Linked DNA regions of Arabidopsis thaliana. The protein of the gene in region 1 interacts with the protein of each later gene in a pairwise test. Each region holds a gene or a part of one and is shown in the gene's direction. Other genes may lie near its edges. The genes, in order: AT3G21810, SGR5, DDL and IDD14.

The links.
Region 2: the proteins of AT3G21810 (region 1) and SGR5 interact in a two-hybrid assay, tested with the Arabidopsis thaliana proteins (one large-scale study listed by BioGRID).
Region 3: the proteins of AT3G21810 (region 1) and DDL interact in a two-hybrid assay, tested with the Arabidopsis thaliana proteins (one large-scale study listed by BioGRID).
Region 4: the proteins of AT3G21810 (region 1) and IDD14 interact in a two-hybrid assay, tested with the Arabidopsis thaliana proteins (one large-scale study listed by BioGRID).

The regions. Positions count from the first base shown.
Region 1 is NC_003074.8:7,682,520-7,689,293, forward strand, and holds AT3G21810 (Zinc finger C-x8-C-x5-C-x3-H type family protein), read left to right. Parts: upstream 1-1,836; 5' UTR 1,837-2,061; intron 2,062-2,213; 5' UTR 2,214-2,332; coding exon 2,333-2,465; exon of another isoform or gene 2,466-3,593; coding exon of another isoform or gene 3,594-3,654; coding exon 3,655-3,798; intron 3,799-3,921; coding exon 3,922-3,955; intron 3,956-4,061; coding exon 4,062-4,203; intron 4,204-4,338; coding exon 4,339-4,395; intron 4,396-4,471; coding exon 4,472-4,569; intron 4,570-4,700; coding exon 4,701-4,772; intron 4,773-4,854; coding exon 4,855-5,081; intron 5,082-5,165; coding exon 5,166-5,365; intron 5,366-5,527; coding exon 5,528-5,665; intron 5,666-5,772; coding exon 5,773-5,841; 3' UTR 5,842-6,097; downstream 6,098-6,774. Other genes in the region: histone-lysine N-methyltransferase ATXR2, read right to left, coding at 6,110-6,226, 6,312-6,368, 6,487-6,563, 6,661-6,730.
Region 2 is NC_003071.7:430,734-435,791, forward strand, and holds SGR5 (C2H2-like zinc finger protein), read left to right. Parts: upstream 1-1,541; 5' UTR 1,542-1,918; coding exon 1,919-2,078; intron 2,079-2,113; exon of another isoform or gene 2,114-2,278; intron 2,279-2,391; coding exon 2,392-2,778; coding exon of another isoform or gene 2,779-2,794; intron 2,795-3,390; coding exon 3,391-4,184; 3' UTR 4,185-4,344; downstream 4,345-5,058. UniProt on the Arabidopsis thaliana protein: Transcription factor involved in inflorescence stems gravitropism, probably by regulating starch accumulation in amyloplasts of graviperceptive cells. Required for stem circumnutation movements. Regulates lateral organ morphogenesis and gravitropic responses.
Region 3 is NC_003074.8:7,173,872-7,179,874, reverse strand, and holds DDL (SMAD/FHA domain-containing protein), read left to right. Parts: upstream 1-1,854; 5' UTR 1,855-2,003; intron 2,004-2,240; 5' UTR 2,241-2,274; coding exon 2,275-2,649; intron 2,650-3,109; coding exon 3,110-3,141; intron 3,142-3,220; coding exon 3,221-3,287; intron 3,288-3,398; coding exon 3,399-3,456; intron 3,457-3,808; coding exon 3,809-3,901; intron 3,902-4,423; coding exon 4,424-4,538; intron 4,539-4,652; coding exon 4,653-4,700; intron 4,701-4,791; coding exon 4,792-4,837; intron 4,838-4,925; coding exon 4,926-4,996; intron 4,997-5,140; coding exon 5,141-5,180; 3' UTR 5,181-5,439; downstream 5,440-6,003. Other genes in the region: AT3G20555 (uncharacterized protein), read left to right, coding at 1,261-1,401, 1,484-1,675. UniProt on the Arabidopsis thaliana protein: Involved in the microRNA (miRNA) and short interfering RNA (siRNA) biogenesis. May facilitate DCL1 to access or recognize primary miRNAs. Binds RNA non-specifically.
Region 4 is NC_003070.9:25,530,164-25,535,378, forward strand, and holds IDD14 (indeterminate(ID)-domain 14), read left to right. Parts: upstream 1-1,844; 5' UTR 1,845-2,320; coding exon 2,321-2,471; exon of another isoform or gene 2,472-2,572; coding exon 2,573-2,975; intron 2,976-3,448; coding exon 3,449-4,154; 3' UTR 4,155-4,515; downstream 4,516-5,215. UniProt on the Arabidopsis thaliana protein: Transcription factor regulating starch metabolism by binding directly to the promoter of QQS. The IDD14beta isoform attenuates the transcription factor activity by competitively forming heterodimers with reduced DNA-binding capacity.

The DNA.
Region 1 (6,774 bases):
TAAAAACAATTATCTTAGCGGATTTCAGTGAGGTTTTTTTAAAATCAATGATCTGAATTGTTACACACACTGAGGCTTTATTAGTTTGATTTGTTTTTGTTTATTGGGGAAATTTGGTTTGCGATGATGATAAAATAGCACGAAGGTGCGTGAAGGGCAGTGGACAAAGCAATGAAAATTTGTTTTGCCGTGAGCTCTCTTTAATAAACGACTTCTCCTTCCACTGAGCATTTTTTAGATCTTCCCTAAATCTTTGTGTTTGTTATTATTGTTGTTAATAATGAATGGCGTCTTTTACCAATTCTGAAGGATTAAATATGGTTCCTTTAGGTATAATGGCATTGACGCAATATTGATTGTGGTATATCCTGATCATTTGGCTTTTTTTTCTATGTTATTTGATCCTGGAAATGCCTCACACATTTGTTCTATCTTCTTTTTCATTATTTACGAATTGGGTTTCCTCTGAATTTACGATGAGGTTTGTTGGTTGAATATAAAGTTGTTGGAGCGAGATGGATTGTTTGGAGTGCAATGATGTTTTCTTTTCTCAGATTTGGTTTTTCTAACTGAAATTGATGATTGTTCTGTTTTATTATTCGATTAAGACCGTCTCCAATATTAATCCCTATTTTTTCGTTGGAGATGCTCTTGCTTCTTCCTGTTTTAGTTGTCAAAAGTCTTATGATTGTTAATCATTTGATTAAAGACATTCGCATACAATTCTGTTATCAATAATGAGAAGGAAAATGTGATGATTTAACATACGGAACAATTATGGTTGCTGTCATTACTTATACGAGTTCGATGTTGAGAATTGTTGGTGGATAATTTGTGTTGCCTTCTTGATTTCCTGCGTTGAAACAAAAAGGTTGCCACATTTTGCTGGATGAAGAATTGTTGGTTCTGTGTGATGTTGTTTATGTGATCTTCAGGTGTGATCTTACATGAGAGACTAAAAAGAGAGCAACGGGTTTGGTTTGAGTTTGTTTAGGTCAAACCATCAGAGAGACATTACGAGATATCGTATCATACCCTTGGGCCAATTCTGCAATATGCGTTGGAGTTTTGTTAATCTTGATCATACCTTTCATATGCCTATTATCGGCTTTATTGACTTAGTTGTATCACTTGGTCCTATACTCCTTGTTCCCTTTCTCTGATAAGTCTATGACTTCGCTGTTATGATCATTGCGTTTGGTTTTTGTCGTCCCTGTTTGTAAATTTGCCAAGATTGAAAATGTAATTTCGAAGAACCAAAATTGTATCACAAGGCAAATATTTTATATACTTCTAACTCTCCCAAAATATCGAGCATTATCTTAATATCTTTACTATGTCAACTTTTGGCAAAACTTTATTAGAAATCTGAAAATAAAACTCACAAGATTAATTATTTTTCAGAAAAGAGAAACTAATATATAGGACTTACCTATATTAATTGTTTAGAGATATTCATACTCCATTTACTTGAACTTTTTTATTAAGTGTTCAGATTATGTTCCATCTCTTGTATTTTATTGCTTTTTTCTCTACACATAAGAACCTTTCAGTTTCCATTTATGAAGATTTATAAAATGGTACAGATACTTTAGTAAAATGTTGTATCATTATATGGAGAGATGTACAAATTTATATAGAGATAATATTCAGTAATTTAATTTAGACAGATCATACAAATGTTAATAACAAAAAAGAAAAAGAAAAAAGACAAAACTGGAATAGAATTAGAGAACTAAATACCTCTAATTAAACCGGATTTGATGGTAGTATACAAAACCAAAATCTTGACATTTTGTTAATCCTTCGAATACATAAGGGCAAAATAGTAAAATACCAGCTCTGTTTTTACTTATTTTCTTTCTTAAAAGAAATATATAAATACGAAGGATCGATCCTTAAATTGTTTCAGCTTTCTTTTTGTTTTCATTTTCCGGTAATATCATTTTCGTCCGACTTGTTTTCTCCTCCTTGCCGTTAAGTTCCATTGAAGAAGAAGAAGAAGAAGGTGTGATTCAACGATAAACCTAGCGAGAAAACGAACCGCATAAAATCGCCATTGTAGGTTTTCGATTTTCTCAGTCTTACATAGCTCGAAATTGATGTATAACTGGTTTTTATTCATGCTCGATTCTAGAGATTTTTAGAAAATCCTATTCCAGTGAGAATCTAGAGATTTCCATTTTGAAGCGTTTCTTCTGTTTCGTATGTAGGAACGAGACGGTGGTGTTAATCTATGGTTATGGAGGTTTGCTTGACTTTTTGAGGTTGGCTTGACTTTTGAAGTTTTGATCTGAAGAAAAGAGGTTTCGTTGTAATTGGTTTATACATCATGTCTGGGTCGAGTATGTATAAGACGAAGCTTTGTATTCTGTTCAATAAGACTGGTGATTGTTCGAGGCCGAATTGTACTTTTGCTCATGGAAATGCTGAGCTTCGTCGTCCTGGCGAATCTTCTTTTACAGGTAATGTTTTCGTTTATGCATTTGAATAGGCTATTTATTCTGGTTTAAGTTTGTTAATGGTGGAAGGATTGATGAATTTATGAGTGCTTCTTTTTATTAGAGTAAAATAGAAAAGTTTTTATTTAATTAAGTCTCTTTTGCTTAGACTTTGCAAGATTTTTATATTATACTTTGATGATTCTGTGAAGTATTTTTCTTCTGAAGTTTTGTGGTTCAATGCATTTGCTTTGTGAGTATTATTCCATATTTTATGAGATTGTGTAAAACGTTTCAGCCTACAGTGTTCTGTTTGATAAACACATGGTAATGGTATCAGTATTATACTTTGCTTTGGATTTGGTTTTCTCCATATCAACTTTTACTGACTAGTTTTGTCCTGCGGAATCATTCTGGAATATGCAGAAAGATAGCTACTCACAGGCTTAGTATTATTTTTTATCCGGGAATGGAATCTACTGGTCTTTCTGGCTGCAATTTATATTGGTTTTCTTATTGGAGTGGAATCTGCTGGGTTTTTTTGTGGTGAAATTTATCTTGGTTTTCTTATTGCTCTTGAAAGCACATTCTTTATGAAGAAAATCTATCATGGGTTTTGCGGGGTACTTATTCTTCGACAACTATGGTTTTCAGACTCCCGAGATTTGGTTGCAAGCAATGCTTGTTATTAGGATTTATCAATGCCTGTTGTTATTACTTCTGGCATTTTCATACTTCCAGTTATGTATGTGGAGCACGTGGTATTTTCTGTGATTATTTATATCTTCAATGGTCTTTCAAGCGGTTTCTTGGATCAAGAAATATGCAGTTTATGGGGGTTTGATTGTCAGTATATCAAATTTGGTGGATTTTGATTGTGTAATTAAATGGAACTTCAAGATTGGTTCTTATTTTCTCTCGTCCAACATAATCTGAAGCCTTCTCAACCTATGATTTATCAATGAGATTCAGTGACTCCACTTATTTAGTACCCAATTGTGGTTTCTTTCCAACTGCTGGTAAGAAGAGGACATTATATTGTGGTCTCTTTGAACTGGGAAGTAATCACCATTACGTTTTTCTTTATGTTACTAGTAGTTTTCTGTGATCTTATCCAAGTGTTGTTGACTGGCATGATTCTGATTGTTTGAAATGGAGTTCACATCTGTAGCACAAGTATGCTTTACTGCAAAGTCTGTTTCGTCTACTGCAGGAAGACGTCACAATATGGATAGTGACTTAAGAGATAGACGTCACAATATGGATAGTGACTTAAGAGATAGACTTGGTAGACAGTTTTCTCCAGAGCGGAGACCTTCCTTAGACAGAAGTGGAAGACGGGTACAAAGGTTTAGTGGTAAGATCTACAGCTTTGGGTTTATGGAGTTCTGTTGTCGATTAGGCAGAGTCAAAAGTCTCTGTCAACTGTTTGTTCTGTATTTCTTTCTTTTCTTATTACCGACGGAATTCAAATTTGCAGGACATGACAATTCTATGCCATTTGAGAATCGAAGGTATCTTCTCCCCTCGGTTTTGCTTATGCTCATGCTATGTGAAATTTCAGTGGTAATTTGATGGCCATGCTTTAACAATGCGGCTTTATATTTCTTATTATCACAGAGATAAAGACTACAGGGAGAACCGTAGATTTGATGAACGACGTGATTATGCTGGTGGTTTGAAAGTTGGGAATAGGATTGAAGACAGGGCAGAAGATGGAAGAAATAAGTTTCATGGTTACAATAATGTTCTGGAAGAGCAGGTTCGAAACTTTCATTTTCTTGGTTGGGTGTTAGTTGAGGACGTGATTTCGCTTTATCTTAATCTAATGTTTAGTGGATGTAAACATTTGTAAAGATGTTGCTAAAGGACCCAAGTCCAATTTGTCTATATGCAGTTAAAAGATGTAGAGATGGATGTTAAGATGCTAACTGATGACAAACTACGATTGGAGGTAAATTTCTCCATTCCACAATTGATTTGATTGCATCGTAAATACGAGTTAATTGACAAATTTCTTTTGTCCAAAGGCGTCCGTTGAAAGGAAGGCACATGAAGTAGACATTCTTACTTCTAGGATCCAGGAGCTTGAGACCCAGTTGGATAGAGAGAAAGATGAATGTAGGAGGTAATGACTAATTCCTTTTTGATGTTTGCTTGAAATTAATTATGATGCGATATACTTGAAGAAACTTTATTTGGCAAATCTGGGACTTGATCTTCTGGTGACAAGTATTGTTCAATCCTTTTGTGTGTCAGGATTACTTCAAGCTCGAAGAAATTTGTGAAAGAATATAACCGTTTCTTGCGGGCACAAGATGATCTAAAGAGGCAAGGCATTTATCTCTATTTCTAATTGCTTCTTATTTAAGAATGCAAAAATTCATTCAATAACACAATGCCAAACCTATAGGTCAGAAGCCCGTCTTCAGAAATTGGGAAACCAACTTAGTACGTATCTTGCTGGAAGTGAAGGCAATAATAGGGATGTAGGCCTGGATATTGTGAGCGATGAAGAGACTAATGGTCGGAATTTGAGAACTGCTTGTGATCCACATAACGAGTTGCAGAATACTTCTTCACTGTCCAGGAAAAAGCATTATGTGGATCAATATACTACGAAAGAACCTGTTGAAGATGGTAAACTTATCTATACTATTAGATTTATGTCTAAACTAAAAATCAGTTCATACACACGTTATGAACCTTCTCCATCTGTTTTAGGCTTGATAGGGAGAGGTGAAGAAGAGAAGGTGGAGAATGAGAAGAAGAGACCACCTTGTTGGAATATGCTTTCTTCAAAATCATATTCTGAAGAAGAAAGTGGAGCGTGGAACGATGAAGACACAATTAACAGGTCCTCGTCAAAGGAAGACAATTGGAAAAGAAGAAGGTTCTCTATTGGCACCTCAGCTACCGATAAGGTACATCATCTTTCTTCTTCTGCAGAAATGGTGTTCACTTGAAGCAGATCGACGTTGGGGATCATGTTAATTCTTAGTGCTTTTGATGATCTTTCACGTTGTAGATGTGTTTTTGTTAAAAGCCGAGATAATAGACTTGGTTACATGGTTACGGTGCTTCAGGTTATATTGTCTACGAGTATGGCAGCTCGGGAATTTGATGATGTTGCAGAATCTGAGGAAGAGAATCCCGAAGCAGCCAACGGCTCTCCTCTCATATCTCTTCCTCCACCCCCACCTTTCAGAGATGCCCATGTTCAGGTAAGCACGAGTAGATTCTCGAAAACTTATGTTGGTAAACTAAATTTGCCAAAAAGTAAGTACTCGGAGATGATGATCCTCACGAATCTCGTGTGCTTTGTGTTCAGAGAGACGAGGATGATGTAAACGGTGATGTGATGGAACAGAAGAAAGCCTATGACGATGATTCCGTCTGATCAAGACTTTGAACATTAAAAAGTAGCCTGTTTGTTAGGTGCAATATTGACGACCATGATTAGAATCGGTACATGCTTTGTTCATCATCTTTAGATATATATTGAAAAAGAACTAAAGCTTGATCTTCAAACGAAGATGTCCTTTTATTGTTTCAATGTTGCGTAGAGAAACTAACGCCATACTCTTTATTTCAGTAGTGATTTCCAGTGTAATCACTATATAGGCAAAATTGAAAATTTCTGTTCTTTTGAAAACAAAAATTATGCTTCAAATTGATGAAGAATCTTCAAGACACTTAGAGCACTTGCAGCTGAAACCATAGTCTGCAAGTAATGCTTGTCTCTCTTTGTATGGAAGCTCCTCGTCGATATATGAAATCGTCACCTGTTGTTTTACATATGGAACTCAAAAGCAAGCTCTCTTTTCCAAAATATTCAATTGCTATTACGATTAAAGAGAAGATGCGTACCTCTTCGTTCTTGCTGATGCGTCTTAATGCAATTATCACTGCTTGTCCGTCTCTGTCCTGCAAAACCCACAAGACAAACGAGTTACACTTGGATTCAGTCTGAAAGTGTTGATGAAAAATCTTCGATCCTTAAGATTTGTAGGCCATAAAGAGGACGAAGATGTAAGAAGGATACCTCTTCTCTTTTGAAGGCTTTTGCATTAGGGCAACAAGAATGGTTCATACAGCTTTGCAGAGGGAAGAAGGCCGTTCCTAAACACAAATACAGATGATGTAATAATGTCAAATCTTGGTTACAAGTTACATAACTCCTCTGTTTTATGGTTACAATGTTCCCTTCATTTCTAACCTTGGCAACAGTCCGAGTACTCATCACCAAGAGCATCTAGAAACGGTCTTGTGATTTCCTCGGTTTCTTCCTATCATAATGAGAATAAGAAACTGGTAAGCGTCGATAGATTTT
Region 2 (5,058 bases), on another chromosome or scaffold:
ATGAGGTATCTTTTGTTTCTTTTATCTGCAAATTAATTTATTATTCGGCAATAACAAAAATAAAAACAACTAGTAGCGAATAGCGATCAAGCTAAGGAAGGAATACATATGGCATTTACAATTGAAACAGAGAAAATGTGTTAAAGTAACAAAACTTATGATTGAGAAAATTTAAACCATAATTGAAACAGAGAAAATGTGTTAAAGTAACAAAACTTATGATTGAGAAAATTTAAACCATAATAATGATTAATTTTGGTAGTCTACATATGAGTTCCATCAAAAAAAAAAAAATGTTTTCATATAAGATTCATTTCATTCTTGATCCAGTAACATTCTTAGATCTGTTAATGAACCTTCTTAAGGAATGACTGAGAAGAAAGGCAATAGCCTAAAAGGAATCGACAGTGGAGAGTGGAGGGAAAAAGAGGTCACGTGAGTAAGACATAAGGTCACGTGCGCGAGGGATCGAATATGAATTTTACTAAAATAGGGTTTTATAAAAACATACTAATACTACTTTCACATTTACTCTTGGTTTGAATTATTTTTATACGCATGTATAATTTGATATATTTGTCTTTTTTCTTCCCCTAACTATGTATGGGCACTAGTACATCCATTATATAAGCCAAATAGAAAGAAAAAATAATAGTTTGTCTGCATTATTGTAAACTTACAGAATTTGGTATTTAATGCAATAATGCATTTTTATCCTTGGATTATTCACAAGAACCATATACCTTTTTTTTTCTCTCCTTGTTTCCAAGTGTAATTCGAAAAGAATCTTAACATGTATGTGGACCAACGTTGGAAACATGATGACATAACATTCATATATAGTTAACAATGACAATTTTTCTTAAATTGTCTATATATTATTGGATTGCTTTAACAATAATGAAACGCAAGATGTATTAGTGATGTATAATCACACTATTTATAGGACTTGAGAGTGACAGTCAAAAAGTTAATTAGAAGTAATGAAGTATCTTAACCTTATTATTTAATTGCTTCTTACATCATCTAAGAGTTAGCACCGTATCGATATTCATAAATTCTCTCCTAATTTGCAGATACAATACAACTATTGCTATTTTAAGCCTCTAACCTGCATAATATTTTGATGAAAGGCAAGCCTTACATGTGGACGTATGATCTCATATATTTTTTTTTTTCATTTGTTAGAAGAAACTCATGTAGATAATCTCAAACATAAAATAAAATGTTTCAAAAAAAAAAAAAAAAATAGTTTGTGAAGGTTCAAGAAAATCAGACAAATTCATCAATCAGACAAGATATGGGTCCAAGCCAAAAAATTCATATATCCAACATGCTCAAAGAAACAAAGTCTAAAAAATAAATACAAAATAACAAAAAGAAAAATCTAAAATCTACATCTAAATCTAAATAAATACACCACCTTCTCTCTCTCTCTCTCTAGCTACACGAGTGTATGTATACATTTTACGCAATGATGGCATAGTGCAATGAGCTTTATAAGTAGAAGCAATATAGACATCAAAGACCCCTTATTTGCTCTCAACTCTCAAGTGTATGAGAGAGAAATAGGTTTTTGAAGAAGAGTCAAAATATATACCCAAAGAGAGAGCTAGAGAGAGAGAGACTCAAGAAAATTAAAAAGCTTTCATCATATTAACATAAGAGAAACTTTGAAGAGCCTAAGAAAAAGTTTTGAAAAGCCTTTGTTGCAGAAAGCTTAAAAGAACTTTTTCTCTCCCCCTATATCTCTCTTTATCACCCTTCCTCTTCTTTGTAAAGCTGAATCTCCCACTATCTCTTCTTCTTTCATTTTTTTTTTTTTTTGGTCTTTGGGCCTTGTTCTTTCATCAAATCAATCTCTAGAATCCAAATACAATAAAGTCAAAAAGAAAGATCAAGAAAAGTAGAGTAATTGATGAGAACAGATCAAGTGATGTTGTCCAACAAGAACACAAACACATGTTGTGTGGTTTCTTCTTCTTCTTCTGATCCTTTCCTCTCCTCTTCAGAAAATGGGGTCACCACCACAAACACATCCACTCAGAAGAGGAAAAGAAGACCTGCAGGTACCCCAGGTAATAATAAATCCCCACTACAGAAAATTTATTTTTCAAAATCTTTTTTTCTTGTTTTTATTTTCTTATGAAAATTTTCAACTCATGGGTACTATTGTTTTTTGTTTTTTTTTTCTCTTAAACCCCATTAGAAATACAGGTTTATTATAGGTTTAGTTTTAAAATTTCTCTTTTTCTTATTGCCAGTTTCAAAGTTATAGGTACAATTAATGGGTTTTCATTGTTTTTAATTCTTAAACCTCATTTAAAATCTCAACTTTATTAATCAACTAAGACATGTGTTTTGATGGGTTTTGCCTTATCTCCTTTTCAGATCCAGATGCAGAAGTTGTGTCTTTATCACCAAGAACTCTTCTTGAATCAGACAGATACATATGTGAGATCTGTAACCAAGGGTTTCAAAGAGACCAGAATCTCCAGATGCATAGAAGACGTCACAAAGTTCCATGGAAGCTTCTTAAAAGAGACAACAACATAGAGGTGAAGAAACGAGTCTATGTTTGCCCTGAACCCACTTGCCTTCACCATAATCCTTGTCATGCTCTGGGAGATCTTGTCGGCATCAAAAAACATTTCAGAAGAAAACATAGTAACCATAAGCAATGGGTTTGTGAGAGATGCTCTAAAGGTTATGCTGTTCAATCTGATTACAAAGCTCATCTCAAAACTTGTGGTACTAGAGGACATTCTTGTGACTGTGGTCGTGTCTTCTCCAGGTATAATTTCTTGTTCCTCTCTATCATTTGATTTTTTTTTGACCCATTTTATAAATTAATTATTGGTATTATTAATTCTGAAAAGATATGCAAACTTTTGGAAGGATTTGTTAAGTATTTCTAAAATATACAAGTAATTTGACTCTGTTTGTTTTGTATATTTAGGAGATCATATAGAAAGACAAATATAGAAAATTCTTCTAGGGACCAAAGACTAAGATTGATAGTTATAGTACTATTTGATTTGACTATCCTTCATGATTTTTACTAATTCTGTGTATTGATGTGTATGCATCAGAGTTTTTTAATATATCTCTTGACTATTTGTTTGGTTTTTGTGACATAAAAAGAAAGTTAAGCACTTAGATTAATGACATTGACCCCAATCTCTAAAGAAATATTTTATGTATTTAGGTTATTATTGGACCTTTTTTCGACACAAAGGTTATAATTGGACCTAAACTCATATTAATAATATATATTTTTGAGTTCAAAGGTATTTAATAAACGACGTTTAAACAGAAAAACTTAATATAAAATTATTAACTTTGTCACATTTTCATAATCCTACGTCATATAAATTATGTAATTGATAGGTTTCTTTTCTTCTTTTAGGGTGGAGAGTTTTATTGAACATCAAGATAATTGTTCCGCACGGAGAGTTCACCGTGAACCGCCTCGACCACCACAAACCGCGGTAACAGTCCCGGCATGCTCTTCTAGAACCGCCTCAACCGTCAGCACTCCGTCTAGTGAAACCAATTACGGCGGTACAGTTGCGGTTACGACTCCTCAACCTCTAGAAGGCCGTCCAATTCATCAGAGAATCTCATCTTCAATTCTCACCAACTCATCAAACAATCTCAACCTCGAACTCCAACTTCTTCCATTATCGTCGAATCAAAACCCTAATCAAGAAAACCAACAACAAAAAGTTAAAGAACCATCTCATCATCATAATCATAATCATGATACCACAAACTTAAACCTCTCCATTGCACCATCATCATCATATCAACATTACAACAACTTTGATCGTATAAAAGAGATTATGGCGAGCGAGCAAATTATGAAGATAGCGATGAAGGAGAAAGCTTACGCTGAGGAAGCTAAAAGAGAAGCCAAGAGGCAACGAGAGATAGCGGAAAACGAGTTTGCAAATGCCAAAAAGATTAGGCAAAAAGCACAAGCTGAACTCGAGAGAGCTAAGTTTTTAAAGGAACAATCTATGAAGAAGATAAGTTCAACGATCATGCAGGTCACTTGTCAAACATGTAAAGGACAGTTTCAAGCAGTTGCGGTTCCGGCGGCTACGGCTGATGAGACGTCTCTTGTCGTGAGTTACATGTCGTCAGCGAATACTGACGGAGAGTTGGAAAATGGTTTTTAAGTAAAACCGAAGAAAACATAAGATATTTAAATTGAGGTTAACTTTATTATACTTTTGTGTATTAATTACCGGTTGTGTTAATTTTTTCAACTACCATATATTATGTAATGGTTGTTATATAGTTGTTTCTTTGGTCCAACAATATTAGACTATGTTTTGTAACTATGTTACTGTCATTTCCGCCACATTACACTTTAAATTGTTGAAAAATGATTTTATCCTAGGTTTCATATAGAACCTTAAAATTAAATTTTATCAACAAAAAAAAAACCTTGAAATTAACTATTTAAATTTTTATATAGATATTTTTTCGTCTTGAACGTCTACAGTAGTTTAGAAGGAGTTAAGAGTGGAGATCCGTACATGCGTGTTTTGATCTTTGGCCTTAGATTCGCTTAGAACTTTCAATGGATATACAATTTTTTTAATAAAACATGTGATATGCGGATTTGAATTCGGTTAAATATACATTTGCTTATCCTTGATTTGTCTACATTATTTTTGGTAAGCTTGAGGTGATATATTTGAAAACAAATCTCACGTTTTAAGGATCAAAACAGTCCCTGCATGATAGAGATTATCGACATCTAATGTATACCAGTATATTTAGTAAGTTTGAAAGAGGGTAAGTAGTTGCTTGGCACGAGTTGATATATGGAGTGATGGGAAATGTACTATTATGATGTCGTTTTGGTCCGTGACCGTTACACTTATAACGAGGTTCATAAACAAACATCGTTTCATCTTTCGTTAGATTCGGACAAAAAGTGTTGATCTATAATGATGATAAAACAGCCCGACCCATTTTCACTTGTTGTTATTACAACTTTTAGCAAATTTTCTAGCTACTCATTTATTGTCTCGAAATAAATTT
Region 3 (6,003 bases), 510 kb from region 1:
TGATTTCTTTATGTACGTGCAAGAACAAATAAAGATATACAAGAGAAGTGGATCACCTTCTTGTTGTAGTGGAGATTATAAATGTACACATCAACTTGAGATTTGCTAAATTGTAATCTTTTTAGTTAGCACACAATATATAACATAACAACATAAAGTACTTTTGATGGGTGAACCTAAATGTATTTTGGTAGTTTTCCAATAAAAGTGTTAATTTAGATAAAAACATTTGCCTAATGATACATTTGCCTGATGATAATCACAAATTCACAGAAACAGTAGATAAGGATCAAATTTTATATTGTCCATTAATGAAAATAATTTCGATAGAAGCTGAAACAAGATATATTAATTTCATTTTAGCTTATATTCTCCGTTATCTAGCGTTTGATGTAACATTTATAAGTATATATCTGTATTAAGTACAAGAATTTGTTGAGGAAGGAAAAAGTGTTCTTACAAACAAAAATATAAATTTGTCAATGATGGAGACATGTAATTCGTGGGGAACTGCTACTAAGTGTTTAACGATAATATATATGGTTTATAACGTGACAAGGTGATGATAGTCAATTCATCTATTTGAAAATCCTTCAACAAAAAAACAGAAAACGTGATGAAGGCAACATTAGGCTAACACCACAAATAGCTAATTGATATATAAATATAGTCGGTCCACGTTCTCGAACCTTTATAGTCCGGCAGGATAATTATTTTACTATTGTCTAGCTTACAAAACATGTACGACATATTGCACTTTTAGATTGTGAGATACGAATTGTGTGAATTTGTAAAGTTAGTACCGAATCTTTGATGGTTGTTATAATAATTTGCCTCTTTTTCATCAGCAATCTATGACGTAAGAGGCTACGTATGTTCGCTTAAAATTTGACCTAATTTGGACTTTGTCATAGTGAAACCGTATGACAATAACGAAGAAGGTGACGGTGACCGATTCTGATATATGTGACAGTCTAGCCAGTATTTTGCAAAACATAAGATACTAATGAAGTGCATGATGCATGACCGATATTTGAATTAGATATACAAGCCGGCTGGTAGATCATTAGACAACATTTGTTTGTGTGTCTATGATGCGAAAAAAATAAATATTCTCAATCTTTGACAAAAAATATAATAATGACAAAGTACATATCGTTTTGTTCATACGTAAACAAGAATTAGTTTTTAATCGTCTATAATATTGGCGTACACTAGTATATACATGAAACTAAAGATACATCAAATAAACAAGGAGACATGATTTGGGATTCGATGAGCCATCACCCGACAAACCAAAGCATCACCCGAGAAACTCATACTGACCCGTCTCTAAAGCTCGAGTCTATGAATGCTGTCTTCCACATAAGCTTCAAGGCCAACAGTTGCGACTACAAATCGGTAGTAAGGAGAACTACAGATGGGATTTCAGGACATATGTTCCTCGAAGTTGAAAATTTCTCTCCACAAGTTCCTTCATGAGAGGATCAAAGTTGGTGGTAAACCTGGTGCACTCTGTTACAATCAGAACAAGATCACTGTCACTTCTGATGGTTTATGTCGTTTAGCTATCCACCTCAACTATATCTATGATCTTGTATTTGTCTTCTATCCTATCAAAGTTGGTGGTAAAGCTGGTGCACTCGATTTGTTACAGGCTCACCGATTTGTTTGATGATCAATTATAAAATCTTTGTTGCAAACTAGGACGAAGAAACAAAAATCTCGAAGGAAGTACAAGGGTACGACGTTACAAGCGGCTTCTGCCCTAATTATACATATCCTTTCTACCAAACAAGATATGACACGTGTCAACTAATGGAAGTTTTACCATACCGTCTACAATTTGTTTGATATTGAACCCCTCAGTTTCCATTTATTTGCAAAAGAGGCCAAATAAATGATTCTTCTCGTTTTGGCTCTGATTCTTTTTATCTCTGCGATTATTATTATTCACTCTCTCCTCTTCTCTCCGCCGAAGTAGTCACAGTTCCGGCCACCAGGTAAAATTTTTCTTTCTCGTTATGCAGCGATTTTTTCTCTTAACGATTCTTGCAACCCTAGACTATGCCCGGAACTTCTGAATTTAGTATTTGAAATCTGTAGCTTACGTTTTTTGGTTTAGGGCTTTTGCTCCATTTCTAGTTTCTATGCATTTGGGAATTAGGGTTTACTGTGTTATCTGGAGCTCACATGCCTTTTCCTTCTGACCCTGGTTTCAATTTGTGATCTTTCCAAAGGCAAAGAAGAGAGAAAACGACCCTGACTCCAATAATGGCTCCTAGTTCTAGGTCTCCTTCACCACGTACGAAGAGACTGAGAAGAGCTCGAGGAGAGAAGGAAATTGGGAGAAGTAGAGAGAGAGAAGATGATGGTAGAGAAAGGGAGAAGAGAAACAGTAGGGAAAGGGATAGAGATATAGGAAGAGATAGGGATAGGGAGAGAAAAGGAGAAGGAGAAAGAGATAGGGAAGTTGGGGATAAGAGAAGACGATCAGGGAGAGAGGATACTGAAAAAAGGAGAAGGACAAGAACAGATGATGAGAGATACTCTAGAGGAAGACATGAGAGGTCTACTTCACCGTCAGATAGGAGTCACAGGAGTAGTAGGCGTTCACCTGAAAGAGCTATTGCCTCAAGGCATGATGAGGTATTTCTGCTTCTTTCTTTAGCTTGGATATGTTCTTAATCTCAGAAGTGTTTTTTTTTTTGTTTTGGGTTTTACTTGTGCATATTCGTATTCTGCTTGAAAAGATAAATGTGATTGAAATTGTTTAGCTCTGATGTATGCTAGAAAAGGTTAGCCTCTGCTGCTTGTTTCGTCACATAATAAATAATTGGAATCCTGTAATCTAGCTTATCCATCTCGTGAGTCTATAACTAGAACCTGCAGCCAGCCATTTTTTGCTTACTCTGTTGCTAAAGGACTTAAGAAAGATAGTCTCTTTGTTTCCCTTCAGCATGTCCAGTAACATCACTTCTCATGTTTCTCTCTTTTTAGTAAAAGCTCATTATATAGATTATGGTTGCTTTCTGCAAATTATCATTTTCTGCGAGCCACAGATTTTTGTTACTTCTTCAGTCATTTTTATCGCCTTTTGTCTTTTCAGGGGTCTAATGCAAGAGGGGGCAGCGAGGAGCCGTGAGTTTTCTTCTTATTAGATTAGCCGTTACAATTTTTCAGTCTTTCTTTTAACCATGTTATGGGTTTTCGTTAACAGAAATGTCGAGGAAGATTCAGTCGCGAGAATGAGAGCAGTTGAAGAGGCTCTGGCAGCGAAGAAAAAGGTATTATATCAAGCCCTATTGATTTTCAATTTCCAATGTCATTTTGAGCTCGCTTAGCTCATCCATGCATAAATGCTAACGCTTCAAATCTAATTTTGATATATCTTGTAGGAAGAACCATCATTTGAGCTATCAGGGAAACTTGCTGAAGAAACTAACAGATACAGAGGTGAAACTTCTGATCCGTCCATTTCATTTAAGAATATCACCTGTTACCATTACCTTGTGCTAGAAACTTTTGCCATAGTGTTTTCATTGCATGTTTGAACTGCGAAACATCTGCCTTTGTTGTCAGGTCATATTTACTTAATTTTGTATGCGTACGTGTCTGTCACTGGGTAAAAGCTTTCTTTGGTCAATATCTAATGAGACTAGAAGCTTCAATATATAAGCATCTGCTATCAGCAGATATCTTTTGACTGCCAATCCGCTTTTGCTCCTAGGAATGGAGACGGTGGTTTCTCGCATTAAATTTCACCATAGGCATGCTTAGCTTCCTTGACTGAGTGAATCCTTTGCAGGTATCACACTCCTCTTCAATGAGCCCCCAGAGGCTAGAAAACCCAGCGAACGATGGAGACTGTATGTTTTTAAGGATGGTGAACCACTGAATGGTGAGTCTTTGACGTCTTCCACATCTCTATCCATCTGTCTAAGTAGTGGTTCATTTGTCTTCTATGTATTTCACTTAACTATCTTACTGTGGTGAACGTCAATTTTTTGTCCACAAAATATGCAGTAAAGCATGTAGTGGCAATGAAAGAGATACTCAAGAAATTTTGATGCACTCTAGCCATGTAAACTTGAAAACTGTGGTCATTGATGGTTTAGTGTCCAGATAACAGCGTGATTACCGATAGTAGCCAAACTATAGCTTGATACTTCTTAGAACTTGTCAATTTTCTTAGAATGAATCTTATTATGAATGTTAATGACTCTTAGAGGAAAAATAGCTCCTTTGATCTGATATGTTTGTGACTGTGGCTTCCCGTGTCATTCTTACTTTGAACCCCTGAACATTGTATATAAGATTTTACATTTTGTTTCCCATTTCTGTTTGCTTAATAATTCTGAATGCCCTGAATCAGTTTTCTTGATGTATGTTTCTGTGCATGTGAAATGTGTTGGACTAACAGAGCCACTCTGCCTTCACCGCCAAAGCTGCTACCTCTTTGGACGTGAAAGAAGGATTGCCGACATTCCTACGGATCACCCATCTTGCAGCAAGCAGCATGCTGTCATTCAGTACCGGTAGGGTTCTGACATGTATTTCTCCTTTTAAGTAGTAATATCTATGACAATAGATTTAATGAGAATAAGGTTTTTAGTTTAATATTTATGTCACTGTGAATGTGCTTTTCTCAGGGAAATGGAAAAGGAGAAACCAGATGGTATGATGGGGAAGCAAGTGAAGTAAAACCTATCTGCTCTTTCATTTTGCTTAAAATTTGTACCTCTTCTGGCTTTAAGCTAAATTTTAATTTCCCTTAATGTCACTTTCCAGGCCTTACATAATGGATCTTGGTAGTACCAACAAAACTTATATCAATGTAAGTGCTCAATTACATTCCTTCTTATGTGCTTCTTTATCATGGTTAATTCAAACGTTTGTGATTAGAACTTCTTTTACTTTTTCAGGAAAGTCCCATTGAGCCACAAAGATATTATGAGCTTTTTGAGAAAGACACCATAAAGTTTGGCAACAGCAGGTATTCTAATGAAGACACATTCTAGTTCTGGTTTCCCATTATGAATCATACCCCGTGCCTATTCTCTGTGATTAATCTTTGCTTGCTGTGCAGTTAACATCTACTTTCTTCTGTTCTTGACATGTTTTGTTCTTTTGGTTGCAGCCGAGAGTACGTACTGTTGCACGAGAATTCTGCCGAGTGAATGAAATCAGAGTCAAGCAGAAACGAGTAAATCACAAGATTAGATAGTTGCGTTTCTCAGGGTTTTTAGAGATGTTTGAGCTGCTTCATGTATGCTTTCTACCGTGCTGGTGATAATCTCAGACATCATTTAGAAATCTTTTGCTTGCTTGTTATATAATAAATGATGATGAACGATTGGTAAGAGAAAAAGGTTAACTTTTGGTATAACTGTATAAGATCAATCTCTACTTTAAAATTGTCGCTCCCTGAGGGTTTCGACCTAACTTAACGTAGAAACATGGAGACGACTGAGATTTCAACTAGAGTTACCAAAACGGACATCACTTTCTTAGTAAGATAAAGCTAACTCTGCGATTGAAAACTACTTATTTGTCAAGCCTTTAGTGAGGGATTCAAGGATCAAGTCACGGATCTCCTCCCTGCTTGCTCAGTCAAGAGTGGTTCTGCCGTCAGCATCCTTAACCGTGTAGTCAGCGTTTGAGAAGCTCTTCAATTTTAGGCTTGTCTCCCTCCGAGACTGCTAGCATTAAAAGGATGTCGACATGGTGCATCTTATCTTAGGTACCTTCCACCGCAAGTATCCCCATGTAGTTAAAATACTGCAAATAACACAGAAACGACAATAATAAATCTAACATTTCCTCTGTTTTCTTCATTCACAAACTCAGACACAACCACGTACGGAAGCTTTTATAAGCGCCCTTGTAACAAAACAAAGATTGACATATTTGACTCTAGAAGCTTGAAGTGAACACGAACCTGTTCGACGTCGTCTCTGTCAAAATCATCACGTGACTGGCTGCCATAGATTCCAGCATTCT
Region 4 (5,215 bases), on another chromosome or scaffold:
ATAATTCTAGTGTTCTTGTTTTTCTTTTACAGGGATTAATTTCCAAAACTTTTCTTTCGTTCGCCAGTTTAGTTTCTTTTATTTGGAATTTTGTATTTTACTTTGGTTCCTATAGGCTACGCGTAACATTGGCACATACTACTTTTTCATGTATGTAAGTAATTTCTGTAAAAGGCTACATTAAAGTCAATACTCTCCGTTTTGGGTTTCAGTGAAATCTAAAAAATGTCAATTTTACTTTTGAAGTTGCAACTTTCAGATAGCAACAAGAGCGAACGAGACAAATGCCTCAGGTTTCAGTGTACAGCTCCACTAAATGGTTTTCGGGTGCTATTATTTGTTTCATATAAATACATAAATACTACTCCATTTTTTCTAATTTAATGAGTAGTATTAACAAAAAAAAGAGTTATAGATAATGCTAAGTCTAAAGACCGGGGTAAATTCAAGGTAATACAAGTCAACAACTAAAAAAAACTAATTAAGGTAGTGAATTGAGTTCACGCAATTAAATAAACTAGTTAAACGAGTAATTTGGACGAGGGTGAAGTTGCTACATGATCATAGTGGAGTTTAATTTACAAAAGAATAGGATAACAAAACTATATATATATATATATATATAACGTAGTGTCAAATAAATTAATTAGTGTGTTATTTTCAAATATACCCATAAAATCCTTTTATTTTCTAAAGAAAACACAAAATAAATAATCGAATTTAAGTATGATTTTTATCCATTATTTTTGCCAAATAGAGGGTTCTTTACTGCATATATTCCTTAAATAAAGGAAAGAGGTGACTATTATCCTAATTTCTTAAGTAAGAATGCGATTGTGAAAGTTTTGATATATCCAACTTTACAAAAAAAGAAAAAAAAGCATTGCATGTGATGAGAATCCATCTCCCCCATCCTCCCACCCATTCTTTCCAACTCAACCATCTCCTTTCTCTTCCTATTAATAAAGTATCATCTTCTTTTTGTTTCTCTTTTTATTTTTTAATGAAAAATAAAACTTTTAAAAAAATTTGTATTTACTTCAATTTTCTTACAGTTCCACTTGGATAGACAAATGCCCTTTAATGAGATGGTGGTGGACTTTAAGTATATGTTATACGCACAACACACACACACACACACACTTTTATAGACATGTTTTTTAATAAAGAAAATTCTTTCGAACATATTCCAGATCTCTAATTTTTCTTTTGTTTGAGATGTTATATAGAATTGGTCTCAGCTGACACTCAAAAACCAGATCTGACTCTAGGGTTTTGTGTTTGTTTTTTGTTTTTCTTGTAAGAAAAACTATATATTGGAAATTTTCTGATTCGTCTCACTTGTGGGCACAGTATTCATATTTGATTAAAACCTATTTCTTATATAAAAAGGCATGAGATGATGGCACCACATTGTATATTTGTATATATACGGAAACATAAATTGGGTATATGCATGTGTCTTATATTCAAAACAAATATTCTCAAGTCCCTTCCCTTTTTAATTTACACCAGCCCTATAGCTAAAGGCTACACATATATACATTTGTCACCATTAAAAAACATGTACTGTTAAACATCAAATTTCCAAGATTCCGTTTATATTTTTCACCTATCCTTTTTTTTATTTATCTTTGAAAAACAAAACTTACTCACTCTGATCGAATATTTTATGATATGAAATAATAATGACTTGTAATTGTTGTGTAGTGGAAGGGGATGTTTTTTTGTTTCTTGTCCTGATGCTAATGTGGGCTCCAAGCTCCTTGTCCCACTCTCTTTATATGTATAAACATCTCTCTCCATAGATATGTTTTGTGTTTGTAAACAAACAGTGTACAGATAGAGAAGAGAGAGGTTCATAACTACTCTGAAGAAGATTGAAGCACCAAAGACCATACAATGCATTTCTCCATCTAAGGTGAGAGGTCAATGAAACAATTAACAAAAAGTTGAAAGTTTCATTTATTTTTTTCTTTTCCAAGAAAATTATAAAAAGTTGGATAGTAAAAGGGAACAGAAAAGCTATTATCCCTTTATGTGAGAAAAAAAATAAAGATGATTTCAGAAAAACAAAGCCCTTTGTTTCTCTCTCTTAACTCATCTTATACTTTCTTCTTCTATTAGTAAAGATGAGTACTCTCTCTACCAAATAAATAAGGAAACATAAAAAACAATCTCTCCTTCTTTCTCTACATGAAAAACAAAAGATTCCTCAATTTTGTTCTTATTTTTCATTTAGTCACAGTACCTCTCTCACTATAAACCACACTGTCTTGAGATAAAATACAAAAAGAGAAGAGATTAAAAACCTCATCCGATGATAGACTACGAGAGAAGCAATACCACCAAGAACATCAACACCCATCATCACAACCCTCCTCCATCTTCATCTTCCTCTGATCTTCTTCCCGACGGTAATGGAACCGCCGTGACTCAGAAGCGGAAACGGAGACCCGCCGGGACACCGGGTATTTAACAATTTTCTTATCAAGAATTACTAGTTGTTAGATTCTATATCCGGAAAGTTATCAAATAGTTCTGTTAAAGATTTTGATTTATCCGGTGGCAGATCCGGAGGCGGAGGTGGTATCTTTATCACCAAGAACGTTACTAGAATCGGATCGGTACGTATGTGAGATCTGTAACCAAGGGTTTCAAAGGGACCAGAATCTACAGATGCATAGAAGACGACATAAAGTTCCATGGAAGCTTCTTAAAAGAGAGACCAACGAGGAAGTGAGGAAAAGAGTCTACGTCTGTCCGGAGCCGACATGTCTCCACCACAACCCTTGCCACGCGCTCGGAGATCTCGTGGGAATCAAGAAACACTTCCGACGGAAACATAGTAACCACAAGCAATGGATCTGCGAGCGATGCTCAAAAGGCTACGCAGTTCAATCTGATTACAAAGCTCATCTCAAAACCTGTGGCACTCGCGGCCACTCCTGTGACTGCGGCCGAGTTTTTTCCAGGTTCCATTCCTTAGTAACAAACCCTAGCTTTTTAATTTTTATTTTTATTATATATTTAGGATATATATTTATCGGAATCCTTAAAGTAAATCAAAGAATGTTTTTTCTAGTATGGCGTGTCCATGTTTTGATTTTTAGATAACGCACATAGATCTTGAAACAACGTTTACTAATGGAACCTGATGAGGTTTGTTTGGATGTACTGTTGTCTGAAAATACTTTTAATTAATTTAATAATTAGGAACTATGTTTTGATTACTCACGTTGACCCCATAATAGATTTCATTATCAAACTTTGTTAAGTATATACCATACTAAACCTCGAAGTCTTGCATATCTCATACTCAAATATATAATCCAAAAGATACCTAACTCCACTAACTTAATTATTTATATTATCTGTCACGAGATACAAATATTCCTTTGTGCTTTCCATTTTAGTTTAACTTATATAATACACTCTTATTTCTCAGAGTGGAAAGTTTCATAGAGCACCAAGACACTTGCACCGTACGCCGATCCCAACCCTCCAACCACCGTTTACATGAGCAGCAACAACATACCACAAACGCTACACAAACCGCTTCAACCGCGGAAAACAACGAGAACGGGGACCTCTCCATTGGTCCTATATTGCCTGGACATCCTTTACAAAGAAGACAATCCCCACCGTCGGAACAACAACCATCCACTTTGCTCTATCCCTTCGTTACTAATGGTAGTATCGAGCTTCAGCTACTTCCATCGAGGAATTGTGCTGATGAGACCAGCCTTAGTCTGTCTATAGGGACAATGGATCAAAAGACAATGTCGGAAGTTGAGAAGAAGAGCTACGAGAAGGGAGAAACGAGCCTAGAAAGAGAGGAGGCGAGAAGAGAAACAAAGAGGCAGATCGAAATCGCGGAATTGGAGTTTGCTGAAGCCAAGAGAATAAGGCAACATGCGAGAGCTGAGCTTCACAAAGCTCATCTTTTTAGAGAAGAAGCAAGTAGGAGGATTAGTGCAACGATGATGCAAATAACTTGCCACAATTGCAAGCAACATTTTCAAGCTCCGGCTGCTTTGGTTCCTCCTCCTCCTCAGACGCATTGTACCGATGAGAGCACGTCTCTGGCCGTGAGCTACATGTCTTCGGCGACTACCGAAGGAGAAAAGGCGAGTGATAGAGCATCTTCATAGACCTTGAAGAGAGAACACAAAAGAAAACAAATATTCTTCTTTTTTTTCTTTGATTGGAATTAAAGATCATCTTTTGATATTCGTTGGTTTTCTTACATATTCTTGGTTTGTGGGTTACCAGGTTTGGGTATTCACTGGGGGTTTGATTTTTTTTCTCTCAAACAAAAACCAAAGAAGAGAATAGTTTTTGTTGTATGAATTGTCTTGGGTCTGTTGGTTAACGTAATGTAATGAACGGGTTATAATTCTCAAGCATTCGTTAATTAGTTAGCTACAGAAATGTTGTTTTTCCATAGAGATAACTGATCTTAATTTTCAGTTTGGTTTGAGACTTTGAGTGTTTTGGATTTTATAGTTGAACTATTGTGACTTAAAAGTATTACCAATTCCTATTGTTCACACGAATATCTGCATTTTTCTTTTCTTTTCAGTCAATTATTTGCATTAAATGCAAGGGATAATAATTAGGTCAAATCGTGAGTCAAATTCTCAGGTAGAAACTAGAAACAATTCGCTCCATATCCCACGTCCGTGTAGACTGTAGTTTGAAATCGTCTAATTGAATGGTAAAATATTAAAATCTAATTCGATTAATTGTAGATTTTATTTGGATTTTGTGGGTTTTTGGTCTCAATGTGACCAAACAAGAAATCATATATTTTTACGTGAAGACAAAATCTCATGAGATATCTTTTGACCCTTATAGTTTGATGTGTTTTTCAAACACATAATAATAATATTTTTTTTAATGAATTTGAATTCATTAATAAAGTATGAGAGAGTTTGTAGAATATACCACCAAAAAAAAGATATTTAAAAAAAAAAACAAGAAAGAGCTAATGCAACAACAAACTGATTTGGTTTTCTCGATTAAACTTTAGGTTTATAGAAGAAAAAAAACCAATTTTGATCTCTGTGGACTTTCGTTTTAAAGCTTTAGTTTTCTCATTTTTCAAAAAATAAACAAGATTGATTAATAATATCTTTATAAGACTCTAGAAAACTGATTAAGAAAATCTGAAAGTAACAACTGTAAAGCTACCTTTATTCACATATATATC